Drosophila melanogaster: one gene and its partners. The gene in region 2 interacts genetically with the main gene of each other region. Each region holds a gene or a part of one and is shown on either strand. Other genes may lie near its edges.

Region 1 (7,693 bases), on a different chromosome or scaffold from region 2:
CGAAGTTGCAGCTGTTCCTTGTGAAAAAGACAACAACACCGGCGTTTAGCCGTGCGAGCGAAAGAGAGGGCAGGAAAGGTGCGTATCAGAGGGTGGATTTCAGGGACCAGGGAGCGGTATAAAAGGACGGGACCTCGCAGAGCAGAATATCACTCACGATTACGCCGTCGAGCAGGCAGCAACAAGCCGAATACAAAATTTTTCAAAAATTTTTAAAACTACGTAACCTACTACCAAAACAAAAATGGAATACACCACCAAGACCCAGATCTACCAGAAGGTGAAGAAGCCAATGCTGGAGCGCCAGCGACGTGCCCGCATGAACAAGTGCCTGGACAACCTGAAAACACTTGTCGCCGAGCTACGAGGTGATGATGGCATCCTGCGCATGGACAAGGCCGAGATGCTCGAGTCAGCGGTGATCTTCATGCGCCAGCAAAAGACACCAAAGAAGGTGGCTCAGGAAGAACAATCCCTCCCCCTGGACAGCTTTAAGAATGGCTACATGAATGCCGTCAACGAGGTGTCACGTGTCATGGCCTCCACACCTGGCATGAGCGTCGACCTGGGCAAATCGGTGATGACTCACCTGGGACGCGTCTACAAGAACTTGCAGCAATTCCACGAAGCACAGTCCGCCGCCGACTTCATCCAGAACTCGATGGACTGCTCCTCAATGGACAAGGCTCCGCTCAGCCCCGCCTCCTCCGGATATCACAGCGACTGCGACAGCCCCGCCCCCTCGCCACAGCCCATGCAGCAGCCCTTGTGGCGCCCCTGGTAAAAACAAGGGGTTAAGTGGCAGGAAGGTAAGGGTGGAGTGGCAATGGGAATGGAAGAACCAACCAACAACGCATCTGTGATAGCCCAACTGTGATGGCAACAAAATAGCAAAATTAAAAAAGCAATTAGCAAAACAAATATAAACCAATTTAAACAAATATCAAAACAATTTACTTTATTGGGATGTTGGGAGGGGATCTAAGGGACCAATCCCTTAGTTGGTGGCAATTGGAATCCTTATTGGTAATTAAATTATTACCAATTAGGAAATATCAAATAATATATCTCTGCTCTGACAATGGAAATCTATTTTGGCAATGACCGAAGTGAAATCTATTTTATAATAATAAATATTTATTTATAAATATAAATAAATTATATTTATTTATTTATATCTATTTAATAATAAATTAAATATATTTCACTTAATTAAAATAAAAGTGTTTTAGAAAACTAGCACTGATAATTTTAAGTTTTTTGAATCGGTAATGTCCTTAACGGTTCACAAGATTGAAAATAGCAAATCAGACTGAATAATAATAAACTGAATAATTATTTATTCATTTTTAAAAAGCGCGCCAACTGCACCTGAAGAACATGTACAGATCTAAGTTACGTATTTATTGCGGAACTTTTTTCACTTTTTTTTCAAGATCATGGCAAAAAATGAGTGTTAGCATGGAATCTATTTAATTAGTTGTTCTGCAACCGTAGTGTTTGTAAATAAATAATTTAATACGTAATAGTTCTTTGAACATTAGGATTATTATTTCGCAGAGTGTAACTAGTTCGATTTCAGCGCAGGCACTTCCTAACACTGGCGCATGCAACACTGCGCCGCTGAAGCGAGTGGCCCGCGATAACAGACCCTCGACACATCGATAGGCGATAGCGCAAATTGCATACCTGAGACCGACGCGGTCTGTGTGTCGCGGATAGGAAAATAGGAAATTATAAATAGAAACGGGCCGTGCCGATGCCCCAAAAGCCACCCAATTGCCAGCTGCCCCAATCGGCGAGGATACCAAGTGCTACCGAGGTGAAAATCGGCGTGCCGAAATTGTTGCAAAAATATTTGAGACGAGAACGCCATTTACAAGCCGCGTTTGTACAGCGAGTGCGCGTGTAGTAGAGCCGGAGAGAGAGCCGCTGCGTGTGTGTGTGCCTGTGAGAGAGCGAGAGAGCGCCGCCGCCAAAGCTGCCCAACACATACACGAATGTTAGACACTTCGCGGTCGGTCGGCAGAAACAGGCAATTTTATACGGGCGAAAAGTTACAAAAAATAATTTTCCCACTTTTCGGTGGCGAAAACGAAGAAACTGTAAAAAATGGACCAGAGATTTAAGTGCAAAACATAGAAACATCTTGCGATAAAGCGTGCTAATCCGGGGCATAAAACTGGTACTGCCATTATCTCGCTTTTTTAATTGCTTTTGTTTATTTTTTGTATAGGACACAGTATAATTTTTCTTTTGCGCTGCGCGCGTGTGAGTGAGTGTGTGTGTGTGATTTGGCCACTCGCTGGTTTCTATGTATGTGCCCGTATCGCCGAACAGAGTTGCCGCCTCCAGGGCAAATCATAAAAAATATATTGGCTGTACAATTGAAAAATATTGAAAAGGGCCAAGCAAGTGAATTATATGCGGATAAGCGGAAAAATAACAAACAATAAACATCAAAGTAATGTGCAAACTGTGTTTCTGCTGCTGTGCGCGTTTCAAACGGCATGGCAACCCTGTTTAATTGCAGTCTGTCTGTATATGTTCGCATGTTGTTTGTGCGGAGTGTGCTGCCTTTACGAAAGAAAAGTGTTTTATTTTCATTGGATTAATCCCGCCCGGTTAACTGCACAATCGGATTAGTGCGTCCAGCGGCCCCCGAAAATCAAACAGTGATTTTGCGTAACAATTTCATGGGCCACATGCAACTGTGCGCTTGATTTTTCGGCGGTAAACACTCACACTCGTACCCTCGCTCCCGTTTCCTGTGCTAGTGTGCGTGTGTCTCGCTGGCTCAGCGCGCCTGTGTGTGTGCGTGTATGTACGTGCGTGCGAACGTATCGAAAAAAATGGTGCAAAAATATGAAAAAGCATAACTAAGCAAATATGTTGTTGTAAAATTCCATTCGCAGGATATGCAAAATGCGAAGTAGCCCGGACATGGAGTGCCACTAAGTGCCGGTTCCGTTTGTGGGAATACTAATAAAGCGGATCAACTGCCATCGAAAAATATTATTAAAAAAAAAAACAGAAGAAAAAGAATAGCTAAAAAACAAGTACCATAAAACGCTGGCAAACAGATAGATATTAGTCCACGTTTTGCAAGGAGTTTCTGTGCAGGAGTGGAGTGCTCAGGGATAACCGGAAGGAAGGAAGCGGCGTACGCAGCAGGAGGAGCAGCAGGACTTCCGCTCCGGCAAATCGGTGTCCACCTCGGAACTATCGCTCTTGCTCTAGCCGGCAACATACCAGCCTAACAACATGTATCCCTCACCGGTGCGCCACCCCGCCGCCGGGGTAAGTTCACCCGACAGTGGGTCCCACCTCTGACCCCCGAATCCGTGCTAATTGTGTTTATGTCTCTTTCCACCACGCCGCGCCATGTGCCGCCCACGTACGGAACACCAACCACCTCTATTCACATCTAAATAGGGACCACCACCTCAGGGTCCAATCAAGTTCACCATCGCCGATACACTGGAACGCATCAAGGAGGAGTTCAACTTCCTGCAGGCGCAGTACCACAGGCAAGTATCCGGTGGAATACTCTATACACGGCAATGTTTACATATGTAAACATTACGCGAATCATATTTACAAGGGATATACAAGGTTTATCATTATAATTGTGAATACAAGGCAAATCTTTACTATAAAGATTTGCAAGGAAATATTTGCCATCATAATGACACTCTCTGCAAATGTCATCTTTGTAATTGCTATGTCAAGAAAAAACTACATTGAATATTGGCCCTAAGAACTATTGGCCCACTAAAATTGCTATGATCGCAAATTTATGTCAGATAAAAGTAAAATTCTTCACACTTTCAAATAATCCAATGGCATAGTTTTCATGGGTTAAGCAATACGCAATTAGAGATTAGGCCCCAATAATTAAGTTGAGGTTAAACCTATTAGAAGCCTTTACAATAACATGCCCCAAAGAAATCACATTTTAAGCCTTAGCCTTAACCGCCATCGTATGGAAGTGTGCGAGTGTGAGTGTGGATGGATGCTGCGTCTGCGTTTTGCGAAAAGTAAAACAAAAAGCTGAGCAAACCGGTTTGGCGCGCCATATGCGCCGCTGTCATAGGATTAACCTGCGCCGCCCCAGCCGCAACTCAATGCTCCATGCTCCACAATCGCCGCTTCCTTGCGTTCTTGAATTCAGTTCGCTTCCGTCGTCCAACTAATTTGCCCGTTGATCACTTTTCCTGTGAATTCCAGCATTAAATTGGAGTGCGAGAAGCTGTCGAACGAGAAGACGGAGATGCAGCGCCATTATGTTATGGTAAGTCGTCATGATCCGCAAATTATCGAGATCCCTTAGCTAATGCCACGGCTTGCCTTCCAACTTTCAGTACTACGAGATGTCCTATGGCCTTAACGTGGAGATGCACAAGCAGACCGAGATCGCCAAGCGGCTGAACACACTGATCAACCAGCTACTTCCATTCCTTCAGGCCGACCACCAGCAGCAAGTGCTGCAGGCGGTGGAGCGGGCGAAGCAGGTGACCATGCAGGAGCTCAACCTGATCATTGGGGTAAGTCGATCGAGGACGGATGATGGATTCTGCGGCAGCAGCAATACGGTTTCAGCCATTCTCAGATAGACACTAATGGGGGCATGGCCGATTGGAAATTCGGTTGCCACACCGAAAAGGCAGAGAAATTTAGTTTGCCGGGTACTTTGTAATACAGTCTTTCAAAGAATAACAAATATCTTGAAAATTGTATAAAAAATAAGAAATCTAACGTATATATGAAACAGTACATATCATAAATGTGGCAACCGTTAAGTGGGAACTTCGTTTCGGTTTAGTTTGTTCCTTGGGCCGCATTTGATTTGAGTTTGTTTTTCTACTTCCTAATTTGTTATGATTTCGCATTCGACCAATCCAATCCAAACAACGTTGTGCAGCATCAGCAGCAACATGGAATTCAGCAACTTTTAGTAAGTTTGTTTCGTTGCAAGTTAATTTCTTATTGTTTGTTTACTGTTGCCGTCTGCCGCTGCATCCGCCGAATGTGCCACTGCCACAACTACAACAACAGCTCCAGTGCCTCACTACCTCCTCTTCCTTTTCTGATTGTCAACGTTTATATTATTTGAATAACGCTTCAAATGCCGCCAATTGTTGTTGCTGTTTCCATTAACCCCAGATGGTCTTTGCTTATGCTTATGAATCGAAAGATAAATAAATTAAATTTTGATACAAAATAAAAATATGGCAAATACCATTTAGTGTTAATGTCGTTGTTGTGTTTACACACATATGTACACACATTTCAATGCTTTCATATTCCCACTAAGCACGATGTTCATTATTCCGAAAGCCAGCAACGCGCACGCCCGATTTCATACGATCTCATGGTTCCATTGCAGCAACAGATCCACGCCCAGCAGGTGCCAGGTGGACCACCTCAGCCGATGGGCGCACTGAATCCGTTTGGCGCCCTGGGCGCCACCATGGGCCTGCCACACGGACCGCAAGGTCTGCTGAACAAACCGCCCGAACACCACAGGCCGGACATCAAGCCGACGGGTCTAGAGGGGCCAGCAGCCGCCGAGGAGCGATTGGTGAGTACCACGCCCTAGATCAAAATTCTGCATATTTCAAGCTAATTTTCATGCTGATCTTGCAGCGCAATTCGGTTTCGCCGGCCGATCGTGAGAAGTATCGCACACGCTCGCCGCTGGACATCGAGAACGACTCGAAGCGTCGAAAAGATGAGAAACTGCAAGTGAGTATCGAGCTTTTTTCAGTGTTAGCATTATACACTTGTAGTATCATAGATCATCGCGTTGATGGTGATTGCCATAACCGATTACTGTCATCTCATCTGAGCTGTTGCTGTCTCTCAACTCACCAGAAACTCAATTCCGTAGTTTACCCATTGTTGTTGTCTAATTCTGCTAACACTCTACCCCAAAATCATGCTAAACAAAACCTAAATTGCTAATTTTTAAGAGACAAAAAAAACATCACGATCTAATGGTGCCTGTTCCGGTTTTCAATTTCTAGTAGTTGGTTTAAGGTGTATCTCAACTTATAGAATTTTGTTTCTAATATTCCACAAATTGTAAAGCTAATGTGTAAATGTAAATTGGAGATGATTTATAATTATGACTGGTTTACTTTGTTTTAGATTATAAATTTTAATAGTAGTGTGGAACATGTGTAAACTATATACATTTTCTATGCTTTTAACTAGTTTTATTTCTTTGATTTTATTGTCTTACTTAAAAAAGGAACACTAATCGTAACTTCATGGTTTGTTTGCGTTTTTAAATTGTTAACCATGTAAAATGATGTGAAAACCAGAACAGGGCCTAAAATTTAGATACTAACTATTTCTATTGTGGTTGTTGTTATTGCTGTTGTTCGTTGTGGGTTTTTGTATGAATTTTGATTTATATTGTTTTTGTGTTTTTTTCAAAATTATTTCCAGGAGGATGAAGGCGAGAAAAGCGATCAAGATTTAGTCGTAGATGTTGCAAATGAAATGGTGAGTTGAGTGTCGGCCCAGATTCAATGCAACCACTCCCAAATTTCCCCAAAAAAAAAAAGAAACAAAAACCACACCTTTGCTATTACATTTATCATCAAATGCAAAAACAGTACTTAATGCATACATGTGCCTTGCAGGAATCCCACTCACCGCGTCCCAACGGCGAGCACGTGTCTATGGAGGTGCGCGATCGGGAAAGCTTGAATGGCGAGCGCCTGGAGAAGCCAAGCAGTAGTGGCATCAAGCAGGAACGGCCGCCCTCACGCTCCGGCTCCAGTTCGTCACGTTCCACACCCAGCCTCAAGACAAAAGATGTGAGCCAAATGTCAAATGTCGAACCCAGAAAGTGTTAGAGCTAATTGAATCTCGTTCATTTAGATGGAAAAGCCGGGTACACCGGGCGCCAAGGCACGCACACCGACACCGAACGCCGCTGCTCCGGCGCCAGGCGTTAATCCTAAACAAATGATGCCGCAGGGACCACCGCCAGCCGGATATCCGGGTGCACCGTATCAAAGGCCGGCCGATCCCTACCAGCGTCCACCGTCAGATCCAGCCTATGGACGACCGCCACCAATGCCGTACGATCCGCACGCCCATGTGCGAACCAATGGCATTCCACATCCCTCGGCCCTAACGGGTGGAAAGCCGTAAGTCATTTATGTCAATTTACGGTCCGAAAAGTAGACTATAGGAATTTTGTCGTGCATTGTTATTAAGTATTTAAAGTAATTCAATGCAACTGATTAAAATGCAAAGTGCAATGTAGTCGATTGGAGATGATAAATGTATGAATCGGCACAGATAGGAGTATATAATATCGCTATTTCTACGAACGTTAAACGTCTTATCACTAATTAAATGGTTACATTAATTAATAAACACATTTTGCCGTTGCAGTGCATACTCTTTCCATATGAACGGCGAGGGTAGTCTACAACCGGTGCCGTTCCCGCCGGACGCGTTGGTGGGTGTTGGAATTCCGCGGCACGCCCGTCAGATCAACACGCTGTCGCATGGAGAGGTCGTCTGTGCGGTAACCATCTCTAATCCCACAAAGTACGTGTACACGGGCGGCAAGGGCTGCGTCAAGGTATGGGACATCTCGCAACCGGGCAACAAGAATCCAGTTAGCCAGCTGGATTGTCTGCAGCGCGACAACTACATCCGCTCGGTG
Region 2 (4,973 bases):
TTTTTATTGTTTGGGATTTATTGCCAACTCTTTTGGCATTTATCAAAACAAAAGAGGAACAATAGCTGGCAGGCGGAAATGGAAATAACTGCCTTATCCCTTCTCTCCTAATCTTTCTCTTCTCTCCTCTCTCTCTCTCTCTCTCTTCTGTCACTCGTTTATCCTCCTGTGACGCTGCGTCATCATAATCAGCGTTTGTCGATTCATCAAAGAAACCGCCGCCGGTTGCTCTCTCCACTCTCTCTCTCTCTTTTCCTCCATTCAAGGATACCGAAAGAGAGAGATCGAGAGAGTGCCCCCTCTCCTTCACACTTCCCTCATGGGTTTCCTATGTAAATCATTTAAAGGGAAATTGTTGCACAACTTTAACGAGTTGATTGGAGGGGGAGGGGTGAGGCTTACTGCTTGTGGGTTTTCCCGGCGCAACCCTCATTCCCCCAACCCACTCGCCCACTTTGGCAGCTGTCAATTAGAGCTTACAGGGAGAAAAAATGAAAACCCGAAGCTTCCATATGTTAGCTGTCCCTCCCACAGGTCTCCGCCCCCAACAGCTGTTGGAAAATGAGATTAGGAGGTGGGGGGTAAGTGGGGACCCAGCTTTATTGGCCTGTAATTGATGCCCAGGCTGCCAACCATATTGCTGATTGAATTGTGGCGTTGTCGCTGCAGAAAAGAAGAAGGGTGTGGATGCACAGTCCAGAGGACTGACTGCTGACGTCGCCACCGAAAGCAGAACCCGTTCAAGCTGCAGTTAAGCAAGTCTTCTGCGGGGAACCCCCGGGGACACAGACTTGTCGAACTCGCATCCTGCTGCGCTACATAAACCCCGAAAGTCCATGCCAGATTTAATGACAAAGGCCACCGCCCATTACAATGTTGCTTAACTACCATAATTATAAACAAAAATATAATATTATGTTTAAGGCTTACCTTCTCTTTACTTTTGTGCTTGGGGGAAATTGCAATTCTTTGAAGCGCTGGCTTATTTACATAAGAGTAATAGGGAATTCACCAGTTTAGTTACCTTTTGTTTGGTTGCGCTTTTCAAGTCTAGGTTTTCCTAAGAATTGTTCTCCATTCCTTATTTTCAGCATGCTGGAAACCATATGCTCTCTTTTGATCCTTTGGTGGAAAAGTACCCCCCGTACCTTTTCTTTGGCTCGGCTAAAAATGTGTTCAATCCACGCAGCCATTTCCATCTCGTTCTATATGTGTGTAATTAAGTCTGTCCACGACGCAAGTTTTCCTCAGCGCCTCTTTTTACCCGGCGGCTGCCCAACTAAACCACTTTGGCCCATTCGCACATCGCAACCCCCTCTCCTCGACCCACCTCAACAAAAAACAAAAAAAAAAAAAAACTATTTCACAAGGTGCCCCTTTGCCGGTTCTTGGCCTCCCTTTTGGCTTTCTCCGCCCCTTCCTTCTGCTTTCTGCTGCCGACGCAAATCCTTACGTGTCAAATGGAGCCCCTCACACTTTTGGATGGCGCCCGAACAGGGACATCCACGTAAGCAATCAAGCACTTAATCGGCTATCCGACGAAGGATTACCCCTTACTGGAATTATTCATACCGGATCATAAATTTGTACAGATAAGACCAGTTTAGAGACAGTACTATATAGTATAGTATAGTAAGTGAAAATCCCTAAACATTTACGTTAAGGTCGAAGCAGAGGATACCCAGGATATTATAGGGTAGCAAGGGAAGGAAAAACCAAAACAACAACCACAGAGAAAGTAAGCAAAAATAATTTCGCGATTCGTCCCCCGGGCAGAGCCCTAAAAGTCGCAATTTGAGGGGTGGAGCCCTTCTCTGGAGCGGCAGGAAGTGGGTAGTGGAAGAGCGGAGACCGGGCTTGCGCAGGCGCCTGGAAGAATCCGAAGCCGAGAAGAGCGGCGAGTGTCCGCTCTCTTTTTTCGGCTCTGTGGCAACAAAGTTTCGGTGCCTCAATTCTTCGATTCAGAGTCTCCACAAACGGCTTCGCGAGCGGACGTTGCAGCCACAGAAGATACAGCCACGGCCGTCGAGGAAGTGGCAGCTACAGAAAGCCAAGATATATATCTGCATATACATATGACTGGCGAAGCTGCTGCGAAAAAGGTGCAAAACAAATTAAGATGCATAAATAAACACCGGACTCGCTGGCAGGTGTTTGTGAACTCTGCTTGTGTGTGTGTGAGTGTGTGTGCGAGTGCGGTGCTGTGCGGTGAAATATTACGAAAGAAAACCTTTTATGTTTTGCAATTTTCCCGCAAACAAATCAACGAGCATAAATATTAATTTTGGCTACACCCAAAATGAGATGATGGACAATAACAGCGGCAAGAAGAAGCGCTTTCAGAAACTTGTTTTAGCCCGGTTTCGGATTTCTCCGTCTTCCTCTTCTCTTCTCGGCGACGTAGTTAACTAAGAGCCGTCGTATTAGACGTTAGTTAGAGAGTGCGTGTAAATTGTCGAAGGGATATTGTGTTTCCCAAAGCCCCATCTGAAATATGTATTCTCACTGTTCATCTCTGTAATGAAAGCTGTGAATTTATCAAGTTACTAATCGGTATTGTGCGGATAATGGCCATCAAAACCTTTTGAGCTACGTTTTTCGATTTTACATTAGGCAAGGGTATCCGTAGGATCCATTTACTCGCCAGCTGCAGAACGAAAATCCATTCAGCAAAACTGTCTCTCCCTTTTCCACTCGCTGAGCAATCCATTTAATAACTTTGGAACCGGCTTGTGTTTGCTTTAATTTGTTGTTGTTTTTTGTGGATTTGTTTTTTGGGTTTGGCAACGAAAGTTGCCAATTAGGTTTAATTTTAGGGGGCTTCGTAGAATTTTCAGCAAAGTGCGTAGAAAAGGGTTTCGTGGTGTGTATCCGTGTGGGCCAAAAGTGCGCTAGTGTGCGTGTTGTTTGTGTGCGGGGCCAAGTGCGTATCTCCCAAATGTTTTTATTGTTGTTTGCTTTTTTCGTTCTTTTGTGGTTTTCATTTTTCGACACCCGAAATGTGTTTGTCTTGTTTTTATAGTTTGCTCTCTTTCACGCCGCTTTTTGCGTAGTTTAAAAGTGGAATCAAGTAAAAAACAAAACAATTACAGTAGAGCCTAGATGAGGAAGTTCTGCGTGCAAGAAACATAAAGTTACCAAGTTGCTGTACAAGCCTTTCCAAGGCATTACAAAATTACTTAAAGCAAAATAAAGTTATTTAGTTCACTAGTTAGTCTCCACTGTCAATATTTGGACAACACATTTGAATGGAAAGTTTCAAAAGCGAATTAAAATATAAACGTATGAATGCCGGGCAGGTGTGCGAGTGTGGTGATATGATATTTTTGGTACGTGATTTTATTCGACCATGCTAATGGCTATTGTGTTCTCCCTCTACTTGCAGATTCTCTTTTAATTTGGCATAAATTGTATTTGTCTTGAAAAAAGCATATTCTTGTAAATATATCCTCTTCGTAAAATATTTTACTTAAAAGCCTTAAAATATTGAATTCACGTGAAATTTCAAACGGTGTCACTCGAAATTCGCCAGTGACTCGCCGCCACGTTTTGTACAAACATAGTTTGTAAACATAAGTTTGTAAGCGGCCGGAAAAAGGCGAACGGAACCCAAAAACCCCAATGCAAGCCAACTGAGTGCAAGGGAGACAGCCGACCACGTCGAGCGGGATAGCATGCGCCAATGAAAACGTCCTACCCCCCAAAAGCGTCCGATTTCGTTGACTACGCCGTTGCCGGGGGCGGGGGATCCGGATTCTGTTCGGGATTAGGAGCGGGACTTTCAGTCAGGGCGACGTCCTTCTACGGCGATCAAACGGTAACGGCAACTACGGACGGGACGCGTCACCAGGAACAACAACAACAACAACTGCAGCAGCAGCAACAGCAGCATATCCTAAGGCAACCTGCAACATCCGCATCGACTTCATCGGTAGCTGCAGCAGCAACCAGCAAGCGAAAACGTCAAACAGGTGAGTTTTTTATTAGCCATCCAAATAGTTACTACAGACGTGCACTAGCTTTATTTGTGACTAGGCTTTCGAAATCCCCACCTATAGGTGTCAAAAGGTTTGAATTCGATGTCGATAACATGTGAATTCGATATATTATGTTATGCAGGCAGTTTTCAGTGTAAATCGGATTCGGATAAATATAAGTTATCGGATAAGTTTTTGCTTAGCTAAGCACCTTCAGCAACCACACGAATGAATCATGGGTAATATGTCCGGTTGATTGCCCCTTCCCGTGGTGATAGCACTCATCGATTATTGTGACAATCGCTTAATTTGCTTGAGTTATCGTTATCACACACGCGCCGTGGGCAAATGCGCCCTGTTGTTTAGTAATACTAGGCGCAATATTTATTATTATTGGTTGCCGTGCCATATTTCTGCCTCTTCTGGGCACTCTTATCGCCCGATTTCCCCCAGCGCCTCCCCTTTTTATTGTTGATTATCACAATAGACGCCATGGCAACTTTTTTCTTCTTTATTTTTGGTTTGGTTGGTGAGAGTGCAAGGAAGCGATAATTCGCATGGTGGTTTGTCGCCGTTTTGTATTTTTTGGGTTTGTGGACATTCTTAGACTTTGTTTTGTACTTCGGTTGGTATCTTTGGATTTTCCACGCTATCCGCGATTACGCTTGCATGCTCGAGCATGTCTGTCTTGGCGCTTGAAGAAGATTCCCTTCCATAATCCCTTTAAAATTTGCGATGATGTTTTCGCTGCTCGACTTGCCTGGCTTCATTCACATTATCTGCTCTGTGAATAGTATGAGTTATTGTTTGATATCTCACAAGGTCCCCCGCACCCCTGTTCCCCGAGCTCATTGAAAATTCCAGCGGACGCAATTACCACCCCAATTGTCTCCCAATCTAAGTTTTCGCTTTTGAGCGGCTCCGCCTCTTTGCTCGACTGTATTTTCAGTGTTTCCTTCGCTTTATTTATTTTTCGCTTATTGCGACTTATAAAAA
Region 3 (7,824 bases), on a different chromosome or scaffold from region 2:
AGCGAGTCGAATCAAATTGAATCGAATTCGAAATATCCGCCAATTGGACAGATCAACACGATAAGCCGAAATCAAAAGCAGCAGTTACCCGATCCGTACCAGTGTGCCTCGTACAATGGTTTAAAAATAGCTCGGCCAAATCATGACACCGATCACCATCCGTAAGTTTGGCCGCCAGCGGTGGGCGTTGGGCGGCCGACGGCGAGTGGGAGTGGCAGTGGCAGTGAGCGGTACACGGTACATGGTACGCGGCAAAGCGTGAACCGTAAACGGTAAACGACAAAACGGAGACGTCGCCACTTTGGCCATGAGTAACGATGAGTGCTCAATTACTTTTCGATTGATCATGGTTTTGGCGCGCGGTGAAATTTAGACCGCCACCCCGCAGTTGCGCCTACCCCCTCTCGGCATCCGCATTCTGTCGACCGGTGGAGCGTAGTCGGCAATCATGAATGAATCGCCGTGTCTGCGAGCGTGAGAGCCCGGCTCGCGGTTGAACAAATCGTGTCGTCATTGACGGCTGTCGGCGGCCGACGGAGCGTATGAGTAATATTCTTGTGAAATTGAACGGAAATAACTGAAATTCATGCCAACCCCCATAAATTGCCGACTATTTGCGGGGGTTACTTCGGAACGGAACAAAACGGAACGGAATGGATCGTTTCGCTTCGGATCGGAAACGATCGTCTCGGAATCGAAATCGGAGAACGGGAGATCCGGAGAAACGGTGAATCGGAAGTGTGTGCCGAGTGAAAGTCATTCGATAAGAGCCAAGTAGCCGCTCATTTCGTTCCCCAGAGACCGGCAAATAGGCAAATTACACATGTTTTGTTTATCTGCGAGCGGGAGAGACAGTGAATAGCTCTCCCAGCGACCTTATCTGGTGGAGATCGGCCCAGTCGACGAATCGATCAATCACTCCACTCCAGTGCGCCGATTATGTGTCATCCCCCAAAGGGGAGCGCTGGAGAGCTGTGAGTATTTCTCATCGTGTTGAAATCTAGCTGGCCTAATCATTCACTAAACGTTTGTATTTTTCACGCCCATTACGACTGGGTAATATTGGTAATAAATCTATTATGTTCGGAATGGCCGTAATATAGAATATTTATGACATTTGTTACTAGTTCACTAACCAAATATTGGTCTCAATCGAATAGCTATTGGATGATTGTACTTGTTGTTGCCTAGTTTAGATGTTATCTCTCATATTTAGTATTATTAAAGTTAACTAAAGTTAGTTAAAGTTATACTTTTCTTCTGCTTTTTTCCATGCTTTCTTCAGCGTATCTTATTGCTCCTAGTTGCTAGTACCCTGGGTACAGGGTAACCCATTGTCCACACCCAGCCGCTATGAGTCGTTTTTGTTTTTTTTTATCGCTCAGCTGTGCTTTTTTATGGCTTTCTCGCGTTGTTTTTGGCACTCGGCGAATGTTTTGAGCGCTTTTCTTGCGATTGCACACTCATGACAGCCGAGAGAGCCTCTCCCTGTCTCTCTTCCGCTTCTTTGGCGATTCGAGCGGAGCGAACATGACCGGCGGACTGGGCGTCCGCCTCCTCATTAGTATGCTCATAGTAACTGAGGAGTTCAGTCAGTCTCCGCCGGCCACAAAAACAAAAAACTAAATATATATACACACATAACCACTGCACGCGAAAAGGCGAAAAAAAAGTGAAGAAACGCTACTGCAAAAATTGTACAAAAAAACAACGCAAAGACGGCGAGAAAGCCACTCCAATCCACTCCACAACACTCCACTCCACGCTCTCCAGCGGCAAGAAATCGACAGCGCTGTTGACTTCGACTTCGATCGAATCGGAATCAAATCATAGCAGACAGTCGAAGGCAGCGCGTCGACACTTAACGCGATAGTTCGTCCAGCCGCGATATAAAGATACAAAGATACGCAGCCAAATTCAACAAATTCAACAAATTCGACAAAGTCGCCTGATTCGCCTGATTCGCCAAATTCGCCAAATCGCGATCGCTTTTATTATTGGTTAGTTTTTTTTTTCGTTTTTTTCCCCGTTGCATTCTGGAAGCTTCTTTCCGGCAAATACACACAAAGAAAAGACTAACAGCGTTACAAAAGCAAAGTGCGTGTCAATCAAGTACGAATTTTTGTGCGGAATTCCCAGCCAACGATTTTTATGTAAATGGTAAGTACAAGTAACTACCGCAGGCGCGTATTTTTTCGGGGATTTTATATTTGCCTTTTCTGCTGCCGATAAGAGAATTCACCTGTGCGTGCTCGGTTTGTTGATAGGTACAGGTGTCTTTCGCTCGATACTTCTGAACCCGCAGAGTTCTTGCCAAGAGCTGCAATGGTCAGGTGAGGTGTCACGTACCCCACACATGATGAAATTGGCCCCAAGGAGGAGGTGTGATGGGTTTAGGGATTGGAGATGGGGATAGGGCTCACAACCGAAAGGGACCATCATCTCCAGCCTCTCATGGGGGAAACTCATTCGTGAATCACTGACACTGTTTGGTGATAGGCATTGAAAACAAGTTATAAATTCATGATGCACAATATGTTAAGTTCATTTTTCCACATGTGAATCATAGCATTTTAAAGTTATTACAATTATGAAAAACCCAAAGTTATTTGAAAACCTATGGACGTTATTTTCGGATGAGTATGACTAATCGTACAGGGGCGACTTGCATTTATTTGCTATTACTATTCTAACTTATTGGGAACTTATTGTTCCATTCAACCACACAACTTATGCAACTAACTTAATAGTTATTGCAACTGTAAAAAAAAACCCTTTTGACGAAAAATGGCCAAAAAAAGAGCGAAACATGTGAAATTAATTTACACGTTTCGTGCCGCGGGGGTGGTGGTGCCAGTGGTGCTGGTGGTGCTGGTGGTGCTGGTGGTGCTGGTGGTGCTGGTGGTGCTGGTGTTGCTGGTGTTTGGCAGGAATTGAAGATTGGATGCGTCAGCGGTTGTCACTACAAGCGTTAGCGATTCGGCACAGACAGGAGGACAAGGTCCGGGCAAAGGGACCGCGATAAAGAGCCGGAGAGCGAAAACGCACGGCAAGAGAGAGTGAATTTCACAAAAGTTTGCAAGACCAATGTTTCGTTGACCATGCTGCTCGATGTGTAGGAGGCGTGTGGAGCGATTGGAGCCTACCCCACCAGACAATATGAGATAGCACCGCCACCGCCAGTGCGGTGGCACCACTATCACCACTACCTTTGCAAGTCGACCTCCACCCGACACACGATGATTCATGATAATTTGGCTAAATAAAGAAATTTATTTTTAATTTGAAATAATTATTTCAGCCAGATAAAGACGGCACTAGCAATGGCCGTAGCTGTAGCTAAAGCGCAAACGATAATAATAACAAATCGCGCATGCTTCGGGCCCCCCAAACAATTGCGATTATATTTATATGTGTGCGTATGGGTTTGCGCATAAGTGCGTCCAGCGGGAATCCCCAAGCAGCCAACAATCATCATAATTCGCCCACTCAGGCACTAACACACACAAAATAACACAAAACAATCGCACCACAATCACACATCCGTACCATCACGTGCGCGAATTTTGGTTTATATTTGGCAAAAGTTGGCCAAGATAATATATAACCAGTCGGTTCAGTTCAGTTGTCCGCGCAGCGTCCGTTAGTCTTGACTTATGGTAATTGGTCCCTCGGCAGGGGGAATACATTTGGCCAACCGAACCCTCTTTTCGGCCAAAGTTTGAGTATGTAAATAACTGAAAATCGAACATACGTATTTGATTTTTTTTTTTTTTTTTTTTTTTTGGTAACTAATAATAGTATAACCTGTTGCTAGACTTTTCTCATGCTAAACACCGACGACGTCTGACGAAGATGTGACGTCAAGAAGTCGTAGTGAAACTCGAGCCATTATGGGTGGGAAAAAAATGAAACTGTGTTATCTTGAGGGCTTTGCGTGTTTGTATAAATTTTGTTTAGCTTATTTCGGAACTTTTTCCATCCACAGACGACAGCTGACCGCCCGCTCGACGTCAGCAGGAGCAGCGGAAGCGGTAGCCGGAGCGGTAACAAAACGGCCAGAACCAGGAATCCAGTGGAACCGCAGCCGCAACCGCCGTTCGTGGATCGACGACGACGCCTGAACAGGAACTGGTCACTGATCTTACTCGCCTTGGCCATGTCCCAGTTTGCCCTCTCCGGCGGCGGTTGTGGCGTCTCAGCGGCGCCCAGTCACCTGGCCACCCCGCCCACTGACAGCCCCTCCAGTCCCATCAATCCCACCAATCCCCTGAAGCACCTACAGAAGCGTTCCAGAGCGGCCAACTTCCGGCTGACCTTCCAGCAGAAATTGAATGCCAGCAGTACGCATCTGGACTGGGAGAACACCTGCAATCTGAAGCCCACGGGTCTGAACGAAACGCACAGCAAGGCGAAACGCTGCAAGAAACGCCAAAGGGTAAGTTTCAAGCGAAAGTTGGCTCTTAGCTGATAAATAAATTGGCACAACTAATTCACACACTATTATCTATATGTATATATGTATTTGTATCTATTTCAGATCCTGCAGAATCTACAGAACCAAACGGGCCGCGAGCTGCGGGGCATCCAGGCCGAGGACAAGGCCAGGATCACCACCAATGCGGACAAGCTGGCCACAGTGAGCACCAAGACTCTGGACATTGTCGAGAAGAACAAGTGGCGATTCTATAAGGGAAACTACAGATTCCTGCCCCGTCTGAATCTCACTAGCAAACAGGTGAGTGTCGTCCATATGCCATAAGCATAATATATGTATGCATATATCGTCATGTGAAGAACTACTGGATCATTTACAAACATCAAACACTCGCGGGGGGTTCTTCTGTTGCCAGGGAGCTTGAGGTGATAAAAAAGAGGGTCACGTGAGGCGTTCGCCCCGTTCACCTGCGTAGGTGCAAACAGGCCGTCACAAGCTAATGGCGAGTGGAGCGGTCATATGAGTCCGAATCCGAGGGAATCGTGCCGCCAGCCGCGAGAGTTGTTGCCATAGTTTGTTTGCGTGATTAAGGGAATTTATCAATCTATATAGAGGGGTATGAAGGAAACTAAGGAAATAAAGATTGAGATATGTATATAGTTCATATGTGCTAGCTTGATGATGGAGTTGTTTTGACAACACTTCCAACAGCAACTTGCATTGAGCACTTAAGTGCCGCCAACTTTTCGATCGCACCTCGTTCGTTTTGTCAGCATTAGCCGGCATTTCGGGACGCCCCATTAACCGTCGATTTGCATTGGTAGCAAACAACAACAGCACGAGGGAAAACATTAGCAATCGATGCCATAACCACATTAAGATTAAGAGCAAATTGACGGCGCGCGCGCTTTTTTTTTCGATTATTGTTTATATAGATCCATCGCGATCCCCCCCAAACCGGCCTTGATCCAGCGATCACGTTTTATGGCCAATCCGTAGATTGGATCGATCCGAATTGAGGCTGAAGCTGAAGCTGAAGCTGTATCTGAATCTGAAAACGAAGTTCAATCCGAATCTCAATTCGTATCTGAAGTGGATAATTTGTTGAATAAACAAAATAAAATCAAGCGGCACATTTTATTTACACTTTTGACAAGTAAACAACAACAAACAGAAGCTAATCAAATTTCGAATTGGATTCGCCACGGACATCTGAATTATGGCGAGAGGAAAATTATGGAGCTTTTCAATTTCGAGACCCTCGAGTTGCGGACAGTTTGATGTTAATAGAGTGGAACCGTTTAGTAATGCCAAATTGTCGGGGTCTGGGAATTCGGAAATATTTTCGCACTGACACGGTGAAATGAGCAAGACCAGTTGAGGAAAAACCCGGAGTGACCGATAGGCCAGTGAATAATGGAAGTAATGGAAGTAATATAGAATGTGGGCTCCGGAATGTGGATGGCGGTACTTGCGAAATGATTGCCACGGAGTACCAGTCGATACGTGACCAAGTATGACAAACGCCGTGCACTAGAAAGGGTCTAGTCCACATTTCAATGAGGTGGATGTCGCTTCGTGAATCGGTCGAGATCGGCTTGGTTGCCCCAACGTGCTAATTCCTTGGTGTCCGGGAAAGTTTCGTATAGGACAGTAATATCTGCAGATAACCAGATGAGTGTAGTTCACTTGGCGTGGCCATAAACAGATACTTTTATGAGATCGCAGGTGCGGCGAAAAATCTCAAGTGTGGTCAAGATCCGCGAAAACCGCCGACTCACTTCGAGTCAGCCAAAAGTCGCGTTCAGAGTGCAAGTGGAGTCTCAAAGGTCGCCACCCCCTGGGAATTTGGTTTTTATTTTTTTTTTTAATTACCCGTTCTGCTAAACTTAGCCAGTCCCATCATAGTTGCCATTCCATTTCATCCATTCATTCACTTAGCCAGCGATTCCACTCAATCGTCTATTCAGGGCGATGAGCAAAGTTTGGCTTTCGCTGAAATTTCTCAATTGTCGTCATAGTCTGGGAAAAGTACCTGGGCCTCGCGGATCACACTGTGAGAAAATGAGGGTAACAATTGACTGCCTTCGCTGCTTATAAGTACTCTTTCGTGTTGAGTTTTTCAGTAGATACCTTTGATCACACACTACTCGATTCGACCAGTCGATCCACCTTTTCTCACTCTGCACCAAGCTCGGGAACTTGCCGCTCGGGATGTGTGTCAATATTTGGCCAATATCGGCTACGTCAATGCCAATTGTGCCAACTAATTGTTGACATCCCCGGAACAGAGTGAAACGGAACCCCCAGATCGGAACCCGATCCGACGACGAGGTGGCAAACGGGACTGATAGAAGAACTCTATATTTAGATGGATCGTTTCGATACCGAGAATCGACGGCCTTTTGACGTCATGCATTCGCTCATACCCACCCAAAAAAAAAAAGGAAAACAACGAATTCGCTGATACCGCAGCGGATCGGTTCGGAAGAAGAAATGACCTTAACGATAATATGTTTGAGTAGTTCACAACGCTCGTTTATTGCAAATGACACACACACGCCGTTTGTGGTCGTTGATCGGGGGGATACGGGGCGCGGAGCGTATACGCGATATGTGATTCATATGAAACAGAGCCGTGGATTCCCCCGAAACTCCAGCGAGAGCGAGCGGGAGCGGGAGCGGGAGCGGGAAAGGGTGAGCGGCGGCATGCGGCGAGCGCGACATGAATGAAACGAAGAGCCAACGTCGACGTCACGAGCGGCCAGCCGAAGCGTAGCCGAGAACTCAAAAAACAGTTACGAGAGAGCGGCGCGAGCGTTCGGCTTGATTTTCACTTTCAGCCGCCGGCCAGATAAGTTTCTGGTCGTTGGGATGAGGGGAGTGTGTGTGCGATGGGAGGGGGGGGGGGGGGGGGTCCGCAAAGGGGCTGGTGGGCTCAGTTCACTCAACCCAAAAAATTCGAACTATAGGATCGACTATATACACCATATGCGATATGGATATCGCAATTTCCGCCAAGGTTTCGCCGTTTCTAATACTTTAATTTTACAATTGGGGATTTTTATTGCAAGCGAGTGCAGAAAAAGGTTTATTCAATAAAGATAACCCCGACCTTCATTCATGGCGATACAAGTAATTAAGGCGTTAAATACTTAAAAATATCATACTTTGCCATATAATTGTTTTATTTTCAATTCTATGCTGATATAATCAAGGATTATGGAGTTGATCTCCAATATGGGTTGGGGTAACTATGATGATTAAGTTGGGAATATATAAGTTTACAAGTTCATGGACAGTTAATGATATAAATAGAGCACTTAATTTAATCTAAAAACTAGTATATATAAAATGGGTGTACAAATATGAATCCATAGATTCTT
Region 4 (5,027 bases), on a different chromosome or scaffold from region 2:
GGTACTATTAGGAGTGAGCATCGACTTCAACAGTTTTACAAAGAAATAAAGGGTTTAACCAAGTAAGGCGAAATAAAATTACATGTGTTTTGTCTTGCTTCCAATACTTAAGTCGTATGGGGCATCTATCATTGGAAAAATTTCAGTTTTCATTGATCCGGCATTTCCCTGTAAAGCGCATAGGCGCTCTTTAAACAGGTTAGTTATGGAAAGTTCCTGCGCTGTTAAAGATGCATTAGCCGAAGACAATGTCTTAGTAATTAAATGGGAAACATTTTCAGTTGGCAATGCTCTAATTGATGGCGACGTTTTCAGCTGATTAGTGATTTCGTTGTCAACATTTCCCCTTATTGCATTCGATTTAAAAGAATTTGTAGTCAGAGTTTCAATGTGCCTTGCAAGTCTTTGTTTTCTTCGGTTTTGACTTAGCCCGAAAATTCCAGAAACCATTCCAGTAGAGCATCCACTATTACTACCAGTCGATGGGGTTGAAGGTGCAGTAGAAAACTCAGGAACAAGTAGAGGATCGGTAACGATTGACTCAGCTGAACTTTCTCGATTGTAATTAAACACAATAGGCAATTGCGTTGTGACATTATAATTTTCTGTAACATCTGTTAAATTTGATGCAGATGTAAGCAAGCGAGAGGTTTCAATGTTAGAAGATGAAGACAATGAAGCATATTCTAAAATAATCTCAGCTGCAGTGCTACAAGGCTCTACGTCTTTTTTGTGGCGAAAGGTTTGCCTTGTCGAATGCCATATGCAAGTGGGTGCTGAATTTGATTCTTCGCAATCGCTTTTAACACTATCACTGTAGGATTCATGAGGGGTGCTAGCAGAGCTGGATTGATGCATATTAACAGATGATGCGAGTTGTAATATTATATCTTCTATTTCGACCAACGTTTTAGGTTTTGCTGAGGTCAAAAAAAAATCGGACTCACTTTCAACATCTGGAATCTTAGAGTGCACTGCATTTGTTTTCTGTGGCAAAATACTTTCATTAGACAGTGCTATAGCAGCTAATGCCATGATAGTATGTGTTGGTGTAGATGTATATTCACCATCTTCCTCTGATGGGAGTCCTAATCGTTGTAAGCTGCGAACATAATAGAGCTCAGCGCTGCTCCATTGATTATATAATCGTTTTACCTCTTCCAGTAAGTTTTCAATAGACTTGCGATTTCCATTTAGTTGTCGTCTTACACTTTCCTCAAGGGCTGAATTAGAGCCATTATTTACTTCAATGTGACTTTGACGTACACTTAACCTTTTCCTAAATTTACCTGAGCTATCTGAGAGATTATCTAGTTTTTTTTTAATGTCGATAAGAATGTTTTTTTGCTCCCTGATAAAATCACACGTGTGTTGTAAGTCGTACCCATCTAGGGCTTCCTTGTTCGATTTTAATTTTGGTGAGTAACAATTTTTGTCGTCTTGTTTATTTTTTTGTTCTGCTCTTTGATGAACGTTAGAAAATTCAAACAAAGGGGGATCTACACAACTTATGCTGTTTTCGATATCTTTAATTAACTTAATATTGTTATTATTATCCTGCGAAGATGGGGTTGACAGAAGCTCATCTTCTCGAAGCATGGTCTTTTTAGATCCCGAATAATGAACCATGTTGAATTTATTCGAATGAAATTCCCGTTCAGCTAGCTGAGACCGAAGAAGCCGAGCGTATAAAAGTTGTGTGGCCAAAAGCTGCTGCTGCGAGCATGGCTGCTGATTTAGCATACTATTCGTATATATACAAGAAAACATTTCATTTCGTTGGCGAAAACTGTCATTTTGCCAATTTTCTATTTCTTCAGCGGTTTGCCAAGGCTGAGAAATTAATTTATTCGGACTTAAAAGAAGTTCGGAAAACGATGCCTCCATTCCGTCTGATCTACTTGATGGTACAATACAAACTTTATCCAAATCATTGCAGTTATATTGTTCTATTTTGTTGGCAGTTAATTGCGTATATTGGTTATTGAACCCACCATCAGGGACCTGGCTCGTTTTCAAATTGATTGAACATTTTTTATCGTGCTTTTTTTGTAGATCCTCATTGCTCTTCTTTTTCTGGTAACTGATTAATTCGTTTGAGTTTAAATTAATTTCACTATTAGTTGTTCCACAGTGTGGCATTATCGGATTTTGTGGGAGCCTGCTGTTAAAATCCGTTCGGTGTTAGTCATTCGTTAACTTTTTGTTTTATATTTTATTTATATTATTTATTGGATAAATTGTATTTCAAAATTTTAAACATTTCTATTAACCTTTAGAATCTTAGTTCACCTTGATGACTCAAATTTAATTAAATTAGTACTTTTTCAAGCACCATTGTACAACTTTTCAACATTTCATACAGGGTTCGTTGTTTATAAAATTTTCTTGCAATATTAATGAGATTTAGATAGCGTAATATTTATGTTATAATCCAGAATCCATGCGTTGTTTTCATTTTTTTAATTATATAGAAATCTCATTTTAATTAACGTTACCCTGTTGCTCGACTGTTGCAATATGAGGTCGTAATTTTTTTTTGTTTTATTTGTTTGTTAATTGTAATTTCCACATTGTGTTAGAGGAAGCCACAATTGTTTTACTTATTTAGTTCACTGTTAATATGGTCAATAATCGGTTTATATACTATCTCCATTTATTCCGACATATTTATATTACTAAATCGATCAACACTATATTAGTATTATTATGGAAACAAAAGATGACATCCTATTTTTAAAACTTATATTTAATTTATAAATACACTTTATATGTAAACACTCGATTTCATCATACACTTCGTGTTATTATTCTACTTGTGTTCTAATGGACAAATCGAATAAAGATTATTTTTTTCATTTGTGTTCATAAATTGTTCTTTCCGGAAATTGTTCAACTATTTTTAGGCATTGATTCCTTTAGATAGATTTTTCGCAAAATTGTATATACTGCCACAACAATTGTCTGATTTACTCTCTTTCGGTCTTTAAAAATAAAACTTAACGATAAAGGTGTACGACGCGGAACAAGAGAGACAAGGACGAGCCATCGGCTCGAAAATAACTGCGTGAGAAACATTGCGCACAAACTTTGTATCGAGCACATGTTTGTAACGAATTTGTAAAAAAAAAGTAATAGATACTATTAAATTTGTTTTTTTTTTCATTCTTAATTCATTCTTAAGAAATAATAAAGTTGTTTAATCTGTATTTTAAAAATATGTACTTCTGTGTAATGTGAATTTTACTGCTGCGTAAATTTACATTTTTACAAGTAAAATCGCAAAATGATGTATTTTTACAAATATTTTACATGAAAATATTCATAGCATCCAATGTTGGTACGACTCTTTTCAAATTTGACTTTAATTTACATTTTTTCTATACGTAATTCCAGATTAAAAGTAACCCATTTTTTAATTTTATTCATATTTTGTGTATGTATGTTAAATTTTTTGGATTTTACCTGGCAACATAACACGTGCAAAACTCAAGTGCCTTCAGATATAGATGGCGCCATGTAATTTCAAATCATATCTACGAATATATATATTTATATATATATGTATGGGCTTCAACAACGGAATACAGTAAACTAAACAATATTATATTAAGCTTGAGTTAAATTTAAATTTTCTAGACCACCTTAACTTAAAGCAAATAATTTAACATTTTGATTTAAAAAATATTATCAAAATATTTTTTATAAATTAGTACTTGAAAATTACATTTTTCGAGGATATATATTAGAAATTTATTTATTCACTGAAAACGGTTGAAAAAATCGGTTGATTCTAAATTAAAGATGTGTAAAACTTCTTATCACTAATCTTAATTGGCCAATTCAACTGTTTACTTGCTCATAATTATGTTCGTTAGTATTAATATGTCTTCGAAGAAAGTTTATTTTCGGTTGTCAACAAAAAATATATTTGTATATATATATATAAATATTTTTCGCTTTTCACAAAGAAGTTTTTTAGACAAATAAAAAACCTACTTTAATACATTTTAAATCCATGCATTTTAAAAAAGGCCTCTAAAGTCCAGTGACTCGACCTAAGAAAAAAGCAAGAGAGAATGCTATAATCGAGTTCCCCGACTATCAGGTACCCGTTACTCAGCTAGTGTGAATGTGAAATTTCATAATTTTTCTGGGATGTCAATAGATATTGAGGAGTAAAATGAAAAAAAATTTTAAAATTGTTCCAAGGCGTGGGAGTGACTGGTTCGGCGGCTTTAGAGCGTTAAAGTGAGCGTGACAAAAATTGAAAATCGATAGAAATTTACAAGACTAATAAATCTAAATAAAATAAAAAAAATATCAACACGTTTTTCAAAAGTGTGGGCGTGGAAGTTTTGTGCGGCTTGTGGGCGTGGCAACATGAGTCAACAATGTGGCGCTGCGTCTTGGTCTCTAGGATCTGTACGGTGAATATCAACCTACTAGCTTTTATAGTAAACAACAATTAAAATAGAAGTATGCAACAGCTAGATGGAAGCCTTTACGATATATATTCTCTTAGTATATATATTTAGTATATATATACATTTAGAATAGATATATTTAGTATATATATATATATATTTAGTACATATATATTTAGTATATATATATTTACTATATATATATATTTACTATATATATATTTAGTATATATATATAGAATACATGTTCCTGATCACTAGCAGAGTAGTTCCGGGAACTAACAAACCTAGAAATGTTAGGTTTCGAAATCATAATAGTTACACTTTTTGTTGAAATTAACATATATATTTATATATATTTTATATTTAGGATATAATTTTTGCAAGGATACAAACAAATGTTACATTTTCAGAAAATATATCTCAACAAATTTTACAAATATGTGTTATGTACTCAAAGTTTAAAAAAGGCTGACGACAGAGGTTTAAAACCGTTATGGATGTTTTTAAAAAATTAATATTAATAATATTTAATAATTTCAAAATTGTATACAAACTAGGTAAAGAAACCGTGCCAAAAAACAGTAAAAACAACCTTTA

Evidence for each region.
Region 1: of Hipk (region 2) and gro, changing one suppresses a phenotype caused by changing the other (phenotypic suppression), as found in Drosophila melanogaster (2 studies listed by BioGRID).
Region 3: of Hipk (region 2) and upd3, changing one enhances a phenotype caused by changing the other (phenotypic enhancement), as found in Drosophila melanogaster (one study listed by BioGRID).
Region 4: of Hipk (region 2) and pan, changing one enhances a phenotype caused by changing the other (phenotypic enhancement), as found in Drosophila melanogaster (one study listed by BioGRID).

What each region holds. Positions count from the first base shown.
Region 1 is NT_033777.3:26,040,080-26,047,772, forward strand, and holds the start of gro (groucho), read left to right. Parts: upstream 1-1,656; 5' UTR 1,657-1,822; intron 1,823-2,000; exon of another isoform or gene 2,001-2,185; intron 2,186-2,561; exon of another isoform or gene 2,562-2,733; intron 2,734-2,740; exon of another isoform or gene 2,741-2,824; intron 2,825-2,915; 5' UTR 2,916-3,264; coding exon 3,265-3,300; intron 3,301-3,435; coding exon 3,436-3,530; intron 3,531-4,230; coding exon 4,231-4,294; intron 4,295-4,364; coding exon 4,365-4,547; intron 4,548-4,924; coding exon 4,925-4,957; intron 4,958-5,389; coding exon 5,390-5,584; intron 5,585-5,649; coding exon 5,650-5,748; intron 5,749-6,456; coding exon 6,457-6,513; intron 6,514-6,653; coding exon 6,654-6,830; intron 6,831-6,894; coding exon 6,895-7,166; intron 7,167-7,416; coding exon 7,417-7,693. Other genes in the region: E(spl)m8-HLH (enhancer of split m8, helix-loop-helix), read left to right, coding at 245-784. UniProt on the Drosophila melanogaster protein: Transcriptional corepressor that regulates transcription when recruited to specific target DNA by hairy-related bHLH proteins. Maternally required for neurogenesis; in the segregation of the neuroectoderm. Directly or indirectly interacts with Notch and Delta.
Region 2 is NT_037436.4:544,097-549,069, forward strand, and holds the start of Hipk (homeodomain interacting protein kinase), read left to right. Parts: upstream 1-1,962; 5' UTR 1,963-2,102; intron 2,103-3,385; 5' UTR 3,386-3,682; coding exon 3,683-3,971; intron 3,972-4,973.
Region 3 is NC_004354.4:18,275,446-18,283,269, forward strand, and holds the start of upd3 (unpaired 3), read left to right. Parts: upstream 1-1,787; 5' UTR 1,788-2,157; coding exon 2,158-2,160; intron 2,161-3,988; coding exon 3,989-4,438; intron 4,439-4,540; coding exon 4,541-4,738; intron 4,739-7,824.
Region 4 is NC_004353.4:88,329-93,355, reverse strand, and holds the start of pan (pangolin), read right to left. Parts: upstream 3,002-5,027; 5' UTR 2,143-3,001; coding exon 83-2,142; intron 1-82. UniProt on the Drosophila melanogaster protein: Segment polarity protein. Functions together with arm to transduce the Wingless (Wg) signal in embryos and in developing adult tissues.